Linked DNA regions of Cricetulus griseus. The protein of the gene in region 1 interacts with the protein of each later gene in a biochemical or structural test. Links are inferred from orthologs where the notes say so. Each region holds a gene or a part of one and is shown in the gene's direction. Other genes may lie near its edges.

What was found. The genes of interacting proteins can lie anywhere in the genome.
Region 2: the proteins of Wwp2 (region 1) and Wbp2 form a complex in vitro, tested with the Homo sapiens proteins (4 studies listed by BioGRID, with this or other methods). The link is inferred for Cricetulus griseus from reciprocal best matches to the Homo sapiens genes WWP2 and WBP2.

Annotation. Positions count from the first base shown.
Region 1 is NC_048596.1:183,767,741-183,773,869, forward strand, and holds the start of Wwp2 (NEDD4-like E3 ubiquitin-protein ligase WWP2), read left to right. Parts: upstream 1-2,278; 5' UTR 2,279-2,374; intron 2,375-6,129. UniProt on the Homo sapiens protein: E3 ubiquitin-protein ligase which accepts ubiquitin from an E2 ubiquitin-conjugating enzyme in the form of a thioester and then directly transfers the ubiquitin to targeted substrates.
Region 2 is NC_048600.1:128,669,409-128,675,685, reverse strand, and holds the start of Wbp2 (WW domain-binding protein 2), read left to right. Parts: upstream 1-2,614; 5' UTR 2,615-2,713; coding exon 2,714-2,772; intron 2,773-6,277. UniProt on the Homo sapiens protein: Acts as a transcriptional coactivator of estrogen and progesterone receptors (ESR1 and PGR) upon hormone activation. In presence of estrogen, binds to ESR1-responsive promoters. Synergizes with YAP1 to enhance PGR activity.

The DNA of each region.
Region 1 (6,129 bases):
GAGACTACTTGGTGGGCGTGTACTAATGGTGACTAAATGTGCCTCTTCTGATGCTTTCCAAACTAAGTAGACAGGTTCATCAGGACCTAAAGGTGTTCAAAGTTTCCATTTCCAAATTAAAGCAACAGTTGCATTCCCTGCAGAAATGGTCCTACAAAATTGGAGAGGCTTAGACTTACTGCTCCTATAAAGGAAAGTATACATGGGCTTGGGAGAAACCTATTGTTTTTATGCTAATTGATCATGAGTAATTAGGAAAAAAATTGTTGTGGTTGAGGAAAACTTCCAAAAGAAAAAAGAGACAAAGACATAAAACAAATAATTAGTACCAGTGTCTGTTTTCTTAGACCTCCTGGGTCTATCAGCATTGGCTGGACCTTTAATTCTCATTCTGATTGGACAAATGGCAGGGCCCTGCATCTTAAACTATATGGCCAATTATCTATCAGTTCAGTAAAATTAATGGTCCTTAGGACCAACTACACCTTTTTTTTTTTTTTTTTTTTTAATTTTTGAGACAGTTTTTCTGTGTAGCTTTCGCTGTCCTGGAACTTGCTCTGTAGACCAGGCTGGCCTTGAACTCACAAAGATCTGATTGCCTCTGCCTCCTGAGTATTGGATCAAAGGCATGCACTACCACTGCCTGACCCAACTACACCTCTTTAGGGTAGGGTAAGCCCACAATTTGACTCATTCGATAAGACCAGTGGGGAATGTAACAGGGCCTCAAGACTAGGTCCTAGACCTTAGCACAACTGACCCCACAATGGAATTACCAGTAGACCATAAGACTCAGCATGTAGACAGCACCACCTAACAAGGCGAAAATAAAGACCTAATCTAATCAAGATCCATAGTTCTGGGAAAGTCTTTAAATTTACTAACCTTGCTTGATCCTTAACACCCAGTGTAGTTGCCGGCTGGCTAATAAAGACTTTCTATTGGCTTAGATGAATGTCTGAGCAGTTTTCTCTGGTAGATAACCCACAACAAAGGCACCAAACATCCAGGTGGTACACAGATGTGTATGCACAGGAAAAAGATCCATATAATAAAATACTAATGAAAAATTAAAAATTTCAGTTAACCAAAACCAAACCCAACAGAAAGCCAGATGGTGTGGCACATATCTGTTATCTGATCAACTGGGAGGTGGGTCCCAGCCTAGGGTGCATGAAACCCTGACTCCACCTGTCTCCTGACCCCCCCCCCCCCATGGCACAAAAAGGTAATCCTAACTACTCAGAGAATCAAAAGTTCAAGGCCAATTAGAACTCTTTAAGCAAGACCCTGCTCCAAATAAAAACTAGAAAGGTAACAACAGGACTGGCAACATAGGTCAGTAGGAGTGATCCCTGACTAGTATGAGCAGGGCTCTGGGTCCAACCCTCAGTGCCCCCAATGCCAGGAATTAAGAAGGCTGAGGATAGGGTTGAGTTCCAGGTCAGTCAGGGTTACATAGAGGCCGTTTGCTAATTCAAAACTTTCAGTTTACTCCATACAGGGAGGAAATGGGAGTTGGTTCCCCATGGGACACTTACGGACTTGGGTGAAGTTCTGAAGTGTGACCTCACCCCCACCCCCTTCTACTTTTGCTTCTTGGAACAAGAACAGATGTTCTATAAAGGCCAGGGCATTTATACTTCTAGAACTGAAAACAAGGCCTAGCATATAGTTGGCACAAGCTGCCAATATTAGCAATACATAAGATGCTTAAGTTTGACCAGTATACCTTTGTGGTGTCAATACATCCCTTTCCAAATTTGCGGACGTGGTTATAGTTACAAGGTTTATCCGATATTCAAATTTAAGGGGGGAACATACTGTTTTTTTGTTAGCAAGTTTTTGTTTGTTTGTTTTTTGAGACAGAGTTTCTCTGTGTAGTAGTCATGGCTGTTTTAGAATTCACCCTGTAGACAAGGCTAGCCTTGAATTTACGAAGAACCGCCTGCCTCTGCCTCCCAAATGCTGGTATTAAAGGGGAGCGCCACTATCACTCGGCTAGCATACTGTTTTTTTCTCCAGTAATCCCCGAAAGACTCGCTGAATTAACTGACCGGATGGTCTTCTCCCACCTGTTTCATGGAGGGAAACTCTACCTACTTCCAAAGGAATAAAATAAAGCCCCTGGTGCCCGGCGAGTCCCTATTTTGTATGTCTGCCCGAACACAACTCAGGAGCAAGAGGTCCTCGCCACTCGGGACCTCAGTAAATCAAAAGCTCGCATGCTGGGTCTAGGTGGTCCGCACCTGCGCGCCCAGGCCAGCCTCTTCCGGGTCAGGTGACCGCGCGCACTCACGTGACCCGGCCCGAGTGCGGGCGCTGGAAGGCGGAAGTGGAGCGGAGTTAGGCGCCGCTGGTGTGGCCGCTGCAGGTAGGTGGCGCGGGCGCTGGGGGCTCGGTGGCGAGCGGGCGGCGCGGGGTGGCCGGGGGCGGCGGGGGCGTGAGGGCTGGGGGCGGCGCGGGGCGGGCGCGGGGGCGGCGGCTTCCTGTGGGAGGGGCCTGGCGCGCGGTTCCGGCCTCCGAGGAGGGGTGTCCCGGCTTGCGCCCGAGCGGGGTGGGCGCGGGGCCCGGTGGGAGTCGCCAGCTGCTGGCGCTTCCGGCAGGGGACCCCTGCCTGGGCGCCTGCGGTGCGCAGGAGCCGCGTCTGTGGAGGGGACGGGACCTCGGCCCGGGAGACTAGCAAGCTCCCCAGAAGGGGCTGCCTGGGAGTGGGCGTCTGGTTTGTAGGGACGTGGAGAAAAAATCTGGACGATGCGGCCTGGACCCCATTCCGAGAGTCTCTTCCTTCCATCCTCTTTGAAGATGATGGCGACCTGAGACTTTAATTTCGGTCCGGTTCAGTTTTTAAACTTCAGGAGGGATCCCTCAGTCTTGATCGGCTGACTGTGGTCACACCCACTTTGCCCTGTTTGCTTAGGGTTCCCTCTTGTTAGGAGCCTAGCCCTTCAGATCATCTTTCTTTGAGATGCTCCCGGATCGGCTGATCTTCGAAAAAAAAAATAAAATAAAGACGGTGTGGGTGCTTTACTGGGATCATAACATGACTTTCAACCTACACAGTTGTCAGCGGCTTGGGCCAGCGTTACCTCAGCAACGCATTGACTGCTTAACTCTTGGACAGTAGAAAGTCTACCGATACTGCTTTAGACGATGCATCTTAGGCTTAAATTACACAGTTTCCTTTTCCATGAGACTTCTTATCTTGACCAGCTGTGACTAGGTGGGGTGACAGAGAAGTTTCTGTGGTATTCCTTAGAACTGTGACCTAGATCACATTTTTTTTTTTTTTTTTTTGAGGTTAAGATACCCATCTTAAGATTGTTCATCTTCCAGGCCGAGGCGTGAAGATGGCTGCAAGTTCCAGGCCAAGCCGGCCTGGGCTACACTGTTAAGACCTAAACAAACAACCAAGCCCTCCTCTTTTCCTTCACATTTACTAAACTTTGCAGAAGTGAAATGGGTTTTGTGAATGCAGTGAAGGAGTTAGAGTTCAAATGGGACGTTGACAGGAGCCAGGATCACAGGTCACTAGGGCAAAAAAAAAAACCAAAAACTTTGCATTAATACATTAGGAGTGGAAGACTTTGGGGTATATGACAAACATTCAAAAGTTAATTTTTGTAGCTGTCATGAGAAATCAATCCCCACTTCACAGAGAACAAACAGCTAAGAGGGTTGACTTTAAAAATATTTATTTTTATTTATTATGTGTGTGTGTGTTCGTGTCTGTGTATGTATGTCATATGTAGGGTGTGGGTGTCCACAGAGGCCAGAAGAAAGCATTGGGTCCCTTGAAGCCAGAGATACAGGTGGTTGTGAGCCTCTGCGCTTTCTTTCTTTTTAAAAAGATTTTATTTTGTCTGCATTCATGTCTATGTGAGGCTGTTGGATCCTCTGGAGCTGAAGTTACAGACAGTTGTGAGTTGCCATGTGGGTGCTGGGAATTGAATTTGGGCCCTCTGGAAGAGCAGCCAGTGCTCTTAATCACTGAGCTGTCTCTCCAGCCCCAAGCCTCTGGCCTGTCATTCTGGGAACTAAACTTTGGTCCTGTGGAAGAGCACTAAATACTCTTTAACTGTTGATCTATCTCTCTAGCCCCAACTTGACTTGTTTACTCATCTTCCTGCTAGACTGTAAATCATTCAAGGGCAGTGATCCTATTTTATGTGGCTTCCTTGGCTACTAGCCTCATGCCTGGTATGTTGTGAGTACTTGGTCAGTGTTTGAGAAATAAGGGAGTTTTTAAAGGTCACACTGCTGTATGTGGTGAAGAAGGGGTTTGAACTTAAGTTTCCTGTCCTTTTTCTGGTCAGTGAAGCTAGTTTTGTTCTGTGTTATTGGTCCCTAGGAAACCAAGGAGCCTGAGGCCAAAGGCTTGGATTGGCTTGTCGTTCTCTTTCACTGTTTTTTTTTTTTTTTTTTTTTTTTTTTTTTTTTTTTTTTTTTTTTGTCATTGAACTTTACACCTTACCACTGAGTTGGAGCTGTAGCCCTTCCCCTCTCCCCCACTCCTGTGTAGCTTTGGAGCCCATCCTAGCACTTGCTCCGGAGACCAGGCTGGCCTCAAACTCACAGAGATCCGCCTGCCTCTGCCTCCCGAGTGCTGGGATTAAAGACGTGCACCACCAATGCCTGGCTGTAGCCCTTCTTTTTGTAAGTTTTTTTCTTTTTCTTTTGAGACAGACTCTCAGTAAGTTTCCCTGGGTGGCCTCAAACTCCTGTAGCTCAGGAAAGCCTTGAACTTGTGCTCCTCCTGCCTCTGTCTCTTGAGTTAGCTGGAATTACAGGACTGCACTACCAGGTCTGTCTTTCATTTAATGACTACTTTCCCACTTGCAAAAAACTTACACCAGGTTCTCATTTATTCTTATATTTGGTTATTTCTTTCCTTATTTAAGACAAATTTTTATTATGTAGTCCTGACTGGTCTAGAGCTCACAAAGATCCACCTGCCTCTGCCTCCCAAGTGCTGGAATTAAAGTTGTGTTAAATTAAAATAAATTTAAATCAAAACTATGCTCAGCCTTTCCTTTTTTGAGACAGGGTCTCACTGTGGCTTTTGGCTTTTTGATACAAGGTAGGTTGTAGCCCAGGCTGACTTCAATCTGGCTATGTTGCTAAGGAACTTATGATTGGTTGATTCTCTTGTCTCTACCTTCCAAGAGCTGGCGTTGCAGCATTCATTTACCATTGTGCCTGGGAAATGAATCTCATGGTCTGTGAAAGGTGCATTACTCTCATTCTATGGGTGAAGAAACTGAGACTTACTGAAGTCCTGATTTTAGATTCCAGACCTAGAAAAATAAATGAAGGGGTTGGTTCTCCCTTTCCACCGTAGGGGTCCTGGAAATCAAGCTGCAGTTGTCAGGCTTGGTGGCAAACACCTTTACCTGATGAGCCAGCTTTCCACATAGGGTTTTTATGTTAATTTTTTTATTCCTAGACCTATTAGTTTTTATTCATAGAAACAATAAGAAGTTTCATTTAAAATAGTTTTCGAATATAAAAAGTATGCTATTAGGATGCATATAAGTGGCATATACTTGTAATCCAAGCACTGGGAGGCAGAAGCAAGAGGATTGCTGGTAAGTTCAAACATTCAGGTACAGCTTGAGTTACAAGAAAGGAAGAAAAGACATGTAGAAAAAATAGAATAGGGTCAGAGAAAACATTGTGAATGTACAGCGTAACTGACTTTGAGAAAACCCTTCCTGCACTATACTTCTATACTGTCTCAGTCCATTTTGTGGTGCTGTAACAGACTACCACAGCAGGCTAATTTATAGACTGTAGAAGCTTGTCTTGGGATTGATGCTGAGAGAAGTCAGAAGGAGAGGCCGTTTTTGGAGGGCCTTGTTGCTAGGTCATTCCATGGTAGGAGGTAGGAAAGCACATGCACAGGACTAAGAATCTTTGTCACAGATCCTGTCGTGTCCTGTCATGTGTCTTGTCAGCATTAGTCCTCTCATGACCCAGTTCTTAAAGGTTCCTCTCCCCAACCCTGTTGCACTGGGAGTAGAATTTCTACCATGTACACTTTGGGGAATACATTCAAACCATAGCTATGTCACCATTGTCTTTTCCCAGGAAAATATTCTTCCGTCAGTGGATATTCGCACACTCCTT
Region 2 (6,277 bases), on another chromosome or scaffold:
TTTTACTTTGTTTTTGTCTTGTTTAGTTTTATTGCTGTTGTTTTTGTTTTGCGCTTTTTTTTTTTCTGAGATAGGATTTCTCTGTGTAACAGCCCTGGCTTTCCTAGAACTCGATTTGTAGACCAAGTTGGTTTCAAAGTCACAGAGATCCTTTTTGCCTCTGCCTCTGCCTCTGCCTCTGCCTCCAGAGTGCTGGGATTAAAGGCAAGTGTCACCACACCAGGCTTGGTTGGTTGTTTGGTTTGGTTTGAGACAGGGTCCCTGTATATAGACCTGGATGGCTGGGAGTTCAACAAGTAAACAAGGAGCAGGGGTGAGAATTTTCAGCTGTCTTCTTGCCTCTGATTACTGATTGCTTCATTACAGTCAGCTTGGAGTTTGCTCTAAAAAACAAAAAACAAAAACCAAAAAAACCTGGGGCTGAGGACACAGTCCAGTTTAGTAGAGTGGTTTGCACAGTGTCCAAGAGAGCCTGGAGTCAGCTAATCCAGCGCATTGTAACCCTGGCAGGGAGATACACAGCTATAATCTCAGGAGGTGGTAGAGCCAGGAGACGAGGAGTTTAAGGTCATCATCATATAAGAGACCCTCTATATTAAGTAAATTAACAAATAAATAAATCTGGCCAGGCATGGTGGCAGAAGTCTGTATTGCTAGCTCGGGAGGTAGAGGACCAGGAATTTGAGGCCAGCCTTGGCTACATAACTGTTACATAGGAGTCTGAATGGGTTCTAAGATGCTTTTTCTCAAAAACAAACAAACAAAAATCTGTAGCCATTTTTATTTATTTATTTATTTATTTATTTATTTATTTATTTATTTTGGTTTTTCAAGACAGGGTTTCTCTGTGGCTTTGGAGGCTGTCCTGGAACTAGCTCTTGTAGACCAGGCTGGTCTCGAACTCACAGAGATCCTCCTGCCTCTGCCTCCCAAGTGCTGGGATCAAAGGCGTGCGCCACCACTGCCCAGCGCTATTTGACTTTTATGAGAGTGTACCCAGAAAAAAAAAAAAAAACTAAAGAATGCAAAAGACTCCTTGCACTGAGTCACCCCGAAATTCCCAAAACTGTGTCTCAAAGGGATAGTGCTGCAATTCCTGCCTGAAGACTATCAGTATCTTATTTTTATGCAAATAAAAGTGTATTTCTTCAACATTCTGTATATTACCGTATAGAGTTGGATTTTACTTTTTTTAAAAGAAGACTTACTTTATGGGACCAGAAAGGTGGCTCAGCAGCCAAGATAACTTGTCCTTGCAAAAGACACGAATTTGGTTGCCAGCACCCATACAAACAGTTTATAACCATCTGGATCTGCAGCTCCAAGAGATGTGACACCCTCCTGTGTCCTCCTGCGGCTCCTGTACACACTGTAGTACACATGCATGCATGCAGACAACCCGTTACATACATAAAGTGGAAATAAACATTTTTAAAATGTGTTTTCATTAGTTTTTAATGATGTGTATGTGTGCACATCTATGATATATATATATATATGATGCATGAGAAGGCCAGAGACGTCAGCGCCTGACCTCAGTGCTGGAAAGCAATCTCGGGACCCCTCCTTCTCAGCTGCTGAGCCATCTATTCACACACACGCACACGCACACACACGCACACGCACACACGCTACACCACCACCACTTTTTTTTTTTAAAGACAGCGTCTTACAATAGCTGAGGCTGGACTGGAAATCCTTATGCAACCCAAGCTGACCTCCAATTTGCCGCAGCTTCCTGCCTCAGCCTCCCAAATGCTGGGATGTGAACCGCTATGCTGTCTGCTTGGGACCAAACCCTGATCCCCCAGATCTAGGGATAGTGAGGACGTCCCGCAGTCCTTCCCGGCCCGCGAAAGAGCCACCTCAGATGGAGTTCAGATTCTCTGCAACGTAGTGGACAGACACCCACGCCTGGGTCTTCAAAGTCCTGCTGTTTAGACTAGCGAGCTAGACTGAGAGGGCGCAGCGCCATCGTGAGGCCAGAGGGTGCAGGGGGCGGCGCAGGGAGCCGCGCAGGGGGCGGTGCAGGGGGGCGGTTCAGGGGACCGGTGCAGGGGTGGCCGGTGCAGGGGGCGGGGAGGACGGTGGGGAGGACGGTGGGGAGCCGATCACTCTCCCCAGAAGTTCACACTGTCCGACTCGCGGGGTCACGGTTGGAGGTGATTAAAGCGTATTTTGCTGGGACTGTTCCAGTCCACCTTAGACAGGGCTACGTCTCGCACAGCCAAGAGTATGGGCGAGGACGAAGGCGGCTCATTAAGTGGTTTAAAGGTGGCACACACCAAGTCACCACGTTTAAGTTACATCTCTCCAATTGAGTTTGCTTAACACGAGGAGGCCGGTTTGGGAGACGCGTACAGATGTTTAAGACTTTGTAAATAACCTAGCAAGCCTGTCCTAGAGTTAAAAAAAAGACTACAAGTCCCAGAATTCAACCACCACTCAACGCAAGGAGAGGTCGCGGTTGAGGGAACCATCGCCTGCTGGGAATTGTAGTCCGCGGCTTGTTTGTGATGCAGGTGCGACTTGGGGGAGGGGGAGCGGGAGTAAACTCTCGCCACGTGACATCGGAGGTCAGGTGGTTGGTCAGCCTGCGCGCAGGAGCGATGATTGGCTGGCTGTAATACGAACGACGCCACTGGAGGCGGGCCGAAGACCGGCGCAGGCGCAGAGCGCTGCGAGTCTCGGGACCCCAGTGGGAGGAGAGACTATGGCGCTCAACAAGAATCACTCGGAGGGTGGCGGAGTGATCGTCAACAACACTGAGAGGTGAGGACGCGGCGGAAGGATCCTGGAGGCTGGGGGCGGAGGCGGGCGCCGTGTGGTGGGCGGTGGGGTGCGGTGAGGAGGGGCGGTGGTGGAGCGCTGGGGGAGGGGGCGGTAACGGCCGGGGGCGGGGCTGGAGGGCGTGGGTGGGGCGTGGGTGAGGGGGGGGAGCCGGGGGAGCCGGGGGAGCCGGGGGAGCCGGGGAGCCGGGGAGCCGGGGGGAGCCGGGGGGGGGGGGGAGCCGGGGCGGCGGGGACGTGGGTCCTGAGTGAGGCCAGCGAGCCCCCTCCCAAATGGAGTCCGAGAATAATTGCTCTGTGTTGGGCGTTTACTACGTGGTTGCTACGCGGCAGGAGGCGCGGCGTGGGTCGGTTCTGCCTCAGATAACAGCTAATCTTGTGCGGCAGAAACTATCCCACACGGTTTACCGGTAGGGCAAGCGAGGCTCACACAGGGCGAATAACCTGGCTTAGGGCTGTGAGTGACCGATGGGACCTGAGGCAAGAGTCTTGACCGCAAAGCCAACAGTTGCTTAACCACTCCTGTCCAGTCTCCTCGTATATTCCAGAACTTCTCAGGTTCCAAGAGAAAGGCTGAGGCCCTAGAGGTGGAACTGAGGGGCTGTCATCTGCTCACCCAGTGCCTGGCGCCCGCGGGCCTTGTAAAGGCGTCTCCCTTGTGTCGCTCGCTCGCTCGCTCGCTCGCTCGCTCCCCTGGTTCTCTTGGATTCCTGAGGGCTTAAGTCGCTCGCCAGAGTAGAAGTCTCTCAACTGCAAGATTCTTTTTTCTCTACCCCTCACTGCACCATCCACTCTTCCTCTCCAACTTTTGGGCCCTCTCTGTCGCTTCTCTTTTCCTTTCTTGCTCGGACATTGGAAATCAGACTCTCTTGACCTGAGCTATGCAAGCTTGAATGTCTTCTTGAAGGCCAAGGGAGGCGTGGTCGAAGTCAAAGCCATCTTGGGACCTGTCACTTGAGAATGTTTGATGAGTCAGAAGAGAAGGTGTGGGGTGACACAGACTGGAAATGCTGATTTTGTCTCCATAGTTCTTGGCAGGTTCTGGCCAGCCCAGCAAGTTTTTTTTTTTTTTTTTTTTTTTTTTTTTTTGGTTTTTCGAGACAGGGTTTCTCTGTGGCTTTGGAGCCTGTCCTGAAACTAGCTCTTGTAGAACCAGGCTGGTCTCGAACTCACAGAGATCCGCCTGCCTCTGCCTCCCCAGTGCTGGGATTAAAGGTGTGCGCCACCAACGCCCAGCTGATCACTTCTTTATTATTATTATTTTTTAATTCTTAGTTTTTCGAGACAGTTTCTCTGTGTAGCTTTGGAGCCTGTCCTGGAACTCACTTTGTAGACCAGGCTGGTCTGGAACTCACATAGTTCCTCCTGCCTGCCTCTGCCTCCCCAGTGCTGGGATTAAAGGCGTGCACCACCACCGTCCAGCTGGTGATCACTTCTTTAACCTGAGCTGGCCTCTTTTATTGTGTTCTAAGTCCTCTATTACCTTTGCACCAAGAAAGGGTATTTGGGATGAGGAGGAGACATAAGAATTTGGACCCTTATGTCATGTAATCTGAGAAACCTTATTCTCTGGTGTACTTAGTCCAGTACCTTGGCTGGTCAAGTACTTTGATGCCATTCAGTGGTGTCCCCACCACTACCCCTCTCTCTGGTTTTCAGTCTATGGTTTCCATCCAGATTGGCCTTGAACCTGAGGCAATCCGACCTCTGGCTTTTGAGAGCAGGGAAATCAGAGATGTACCACCACAACCAGAGCTGTTTAGCTTCATCGTTTGAGAGTGGTTTTCCTTCACTTACTCTGGCTTTTATGTAGAAGATTTCTGCCCTCCTGGGCTCAGCACCTGGCTCATTGCTACCAAATAGGGTCCTGGGAAGAACTTCAGCCTCACTTCTGAAACATGTGTCAGTAATAATTGAAATGTAAGTGCAGTGCTCAAACTTATGATATTTAAACTAGTGAACAAGCTGGGCATTGGTGACCACACCTTTAATCCCAGCACTCAGGAGGCAGAGGCAGGCGGATCTCTGTGAGTTTGAGGCCAGCCTGGTCTCCAGAGCGAGTGCCAGGATAGGCTCCAAAGCTACACAGAGAAACCCTGTCTCGAAAAACCAAAAAAAAAAAAAAAAAAACAAAAACAACCCCCCCCAAAACTAGTGAACATTAACCTTTAATTCACAAACCACTGTTAGAGATAAAGGCTGTGAACTCTTCCCAGAAAACCGAGCACACAAGTACACACACACACACACACACACACACACACGCACGCACGCACGCACGCACACATACAGACACACACATGCATATACACACATCTCAAGGGCTTTATCCACAGACATTTTCTACAGCTCCAGCTAAAGAAGCTTGGATTAAAAAAAAAAAAACACACACACATAGAAACAACAACAACAACAACAAAAATATGATCTCCCAGAGGGCCCATTTAGTTCCCCGTATCAATGTCAGGCGGCTCACAACCACCTGTGTCTCCAGCTTCAGAGGATCCAATGAAACTATAGAATCATGTCTTTGACTCTATACTTTTATTATTTACTTATTTATTAGCTGTGTGTGTGTTGCTGGGGAAGAACTCAGAACTGTGACCATGCTAGGCAAATACTACTGTGCTGCATCCCCAAGTCCCATTAGACTCATGTTTATATATTAGGGTTTTGTTTGTTTTTGTTGTTTGTTTATTGTTGTTGTTTTGGTATTTTTGAGACAGGCTTTCTCAGTGTAGCTCTGGCTGTCCTGGAACTCACTCTGTAGACCAGGCTATCTTCACAGAGATCCACCTGCCTCTGCCTCTGGGGTGCTGGGATTAAAGTCGAGCACCACCACTGTCCGGCTATATTAGTTTTGTTTTGTTTTGTTTTATTTTTTAGGAAAAAAAAAAACAGTAAAATTGTTGTGGCTGTGACTCAGGTGGTAGTATGCTTTCCTGGGATGCACAAAACCCTGTGTCCATCCCTAGCACCTCATGAAAGCAGCCTGGCGGTAGAAGTCTGTAATCCCAGCACTTGGGAGATGCAAGCAGGAATAACTTAGCAAGCTCAAGACCAGCCTCAGAAAGCCCAAACTAGAATGCCTGTCACAGGGCTTAAGAGCAGACTGAAGAGAAAACTCAGGTGACCTAGTCCAGTTGGAGAGATGAAGACAGTTCTCTTTTTTTTTTTTTTTTTTTTTTTTGGTTTTCGAGACAGGGTTTCTCTGTGGCTTTGGAGGCTGTCCTGGCACTTGCTCTGGAGACCAGGCTGTCCTGGAACTCACAGAGATCCTCCTGCCTCTGCCTCCCAAGTGCTGGGATTAAAGGCGTGCACCACCAACGCCCGTCGAAGACAGTTCTCTTACCCTGGTCACTTGGGGGCTGTAGAAATGGAGCTTGGGGACTATCTCTACCTGACAGTCCTGATGGTTTACTCATAGTCCTATTGCAACAGTGTTGTGAGTGACTTAGTCCATGTCTCCAATGACTCATGACTGATGA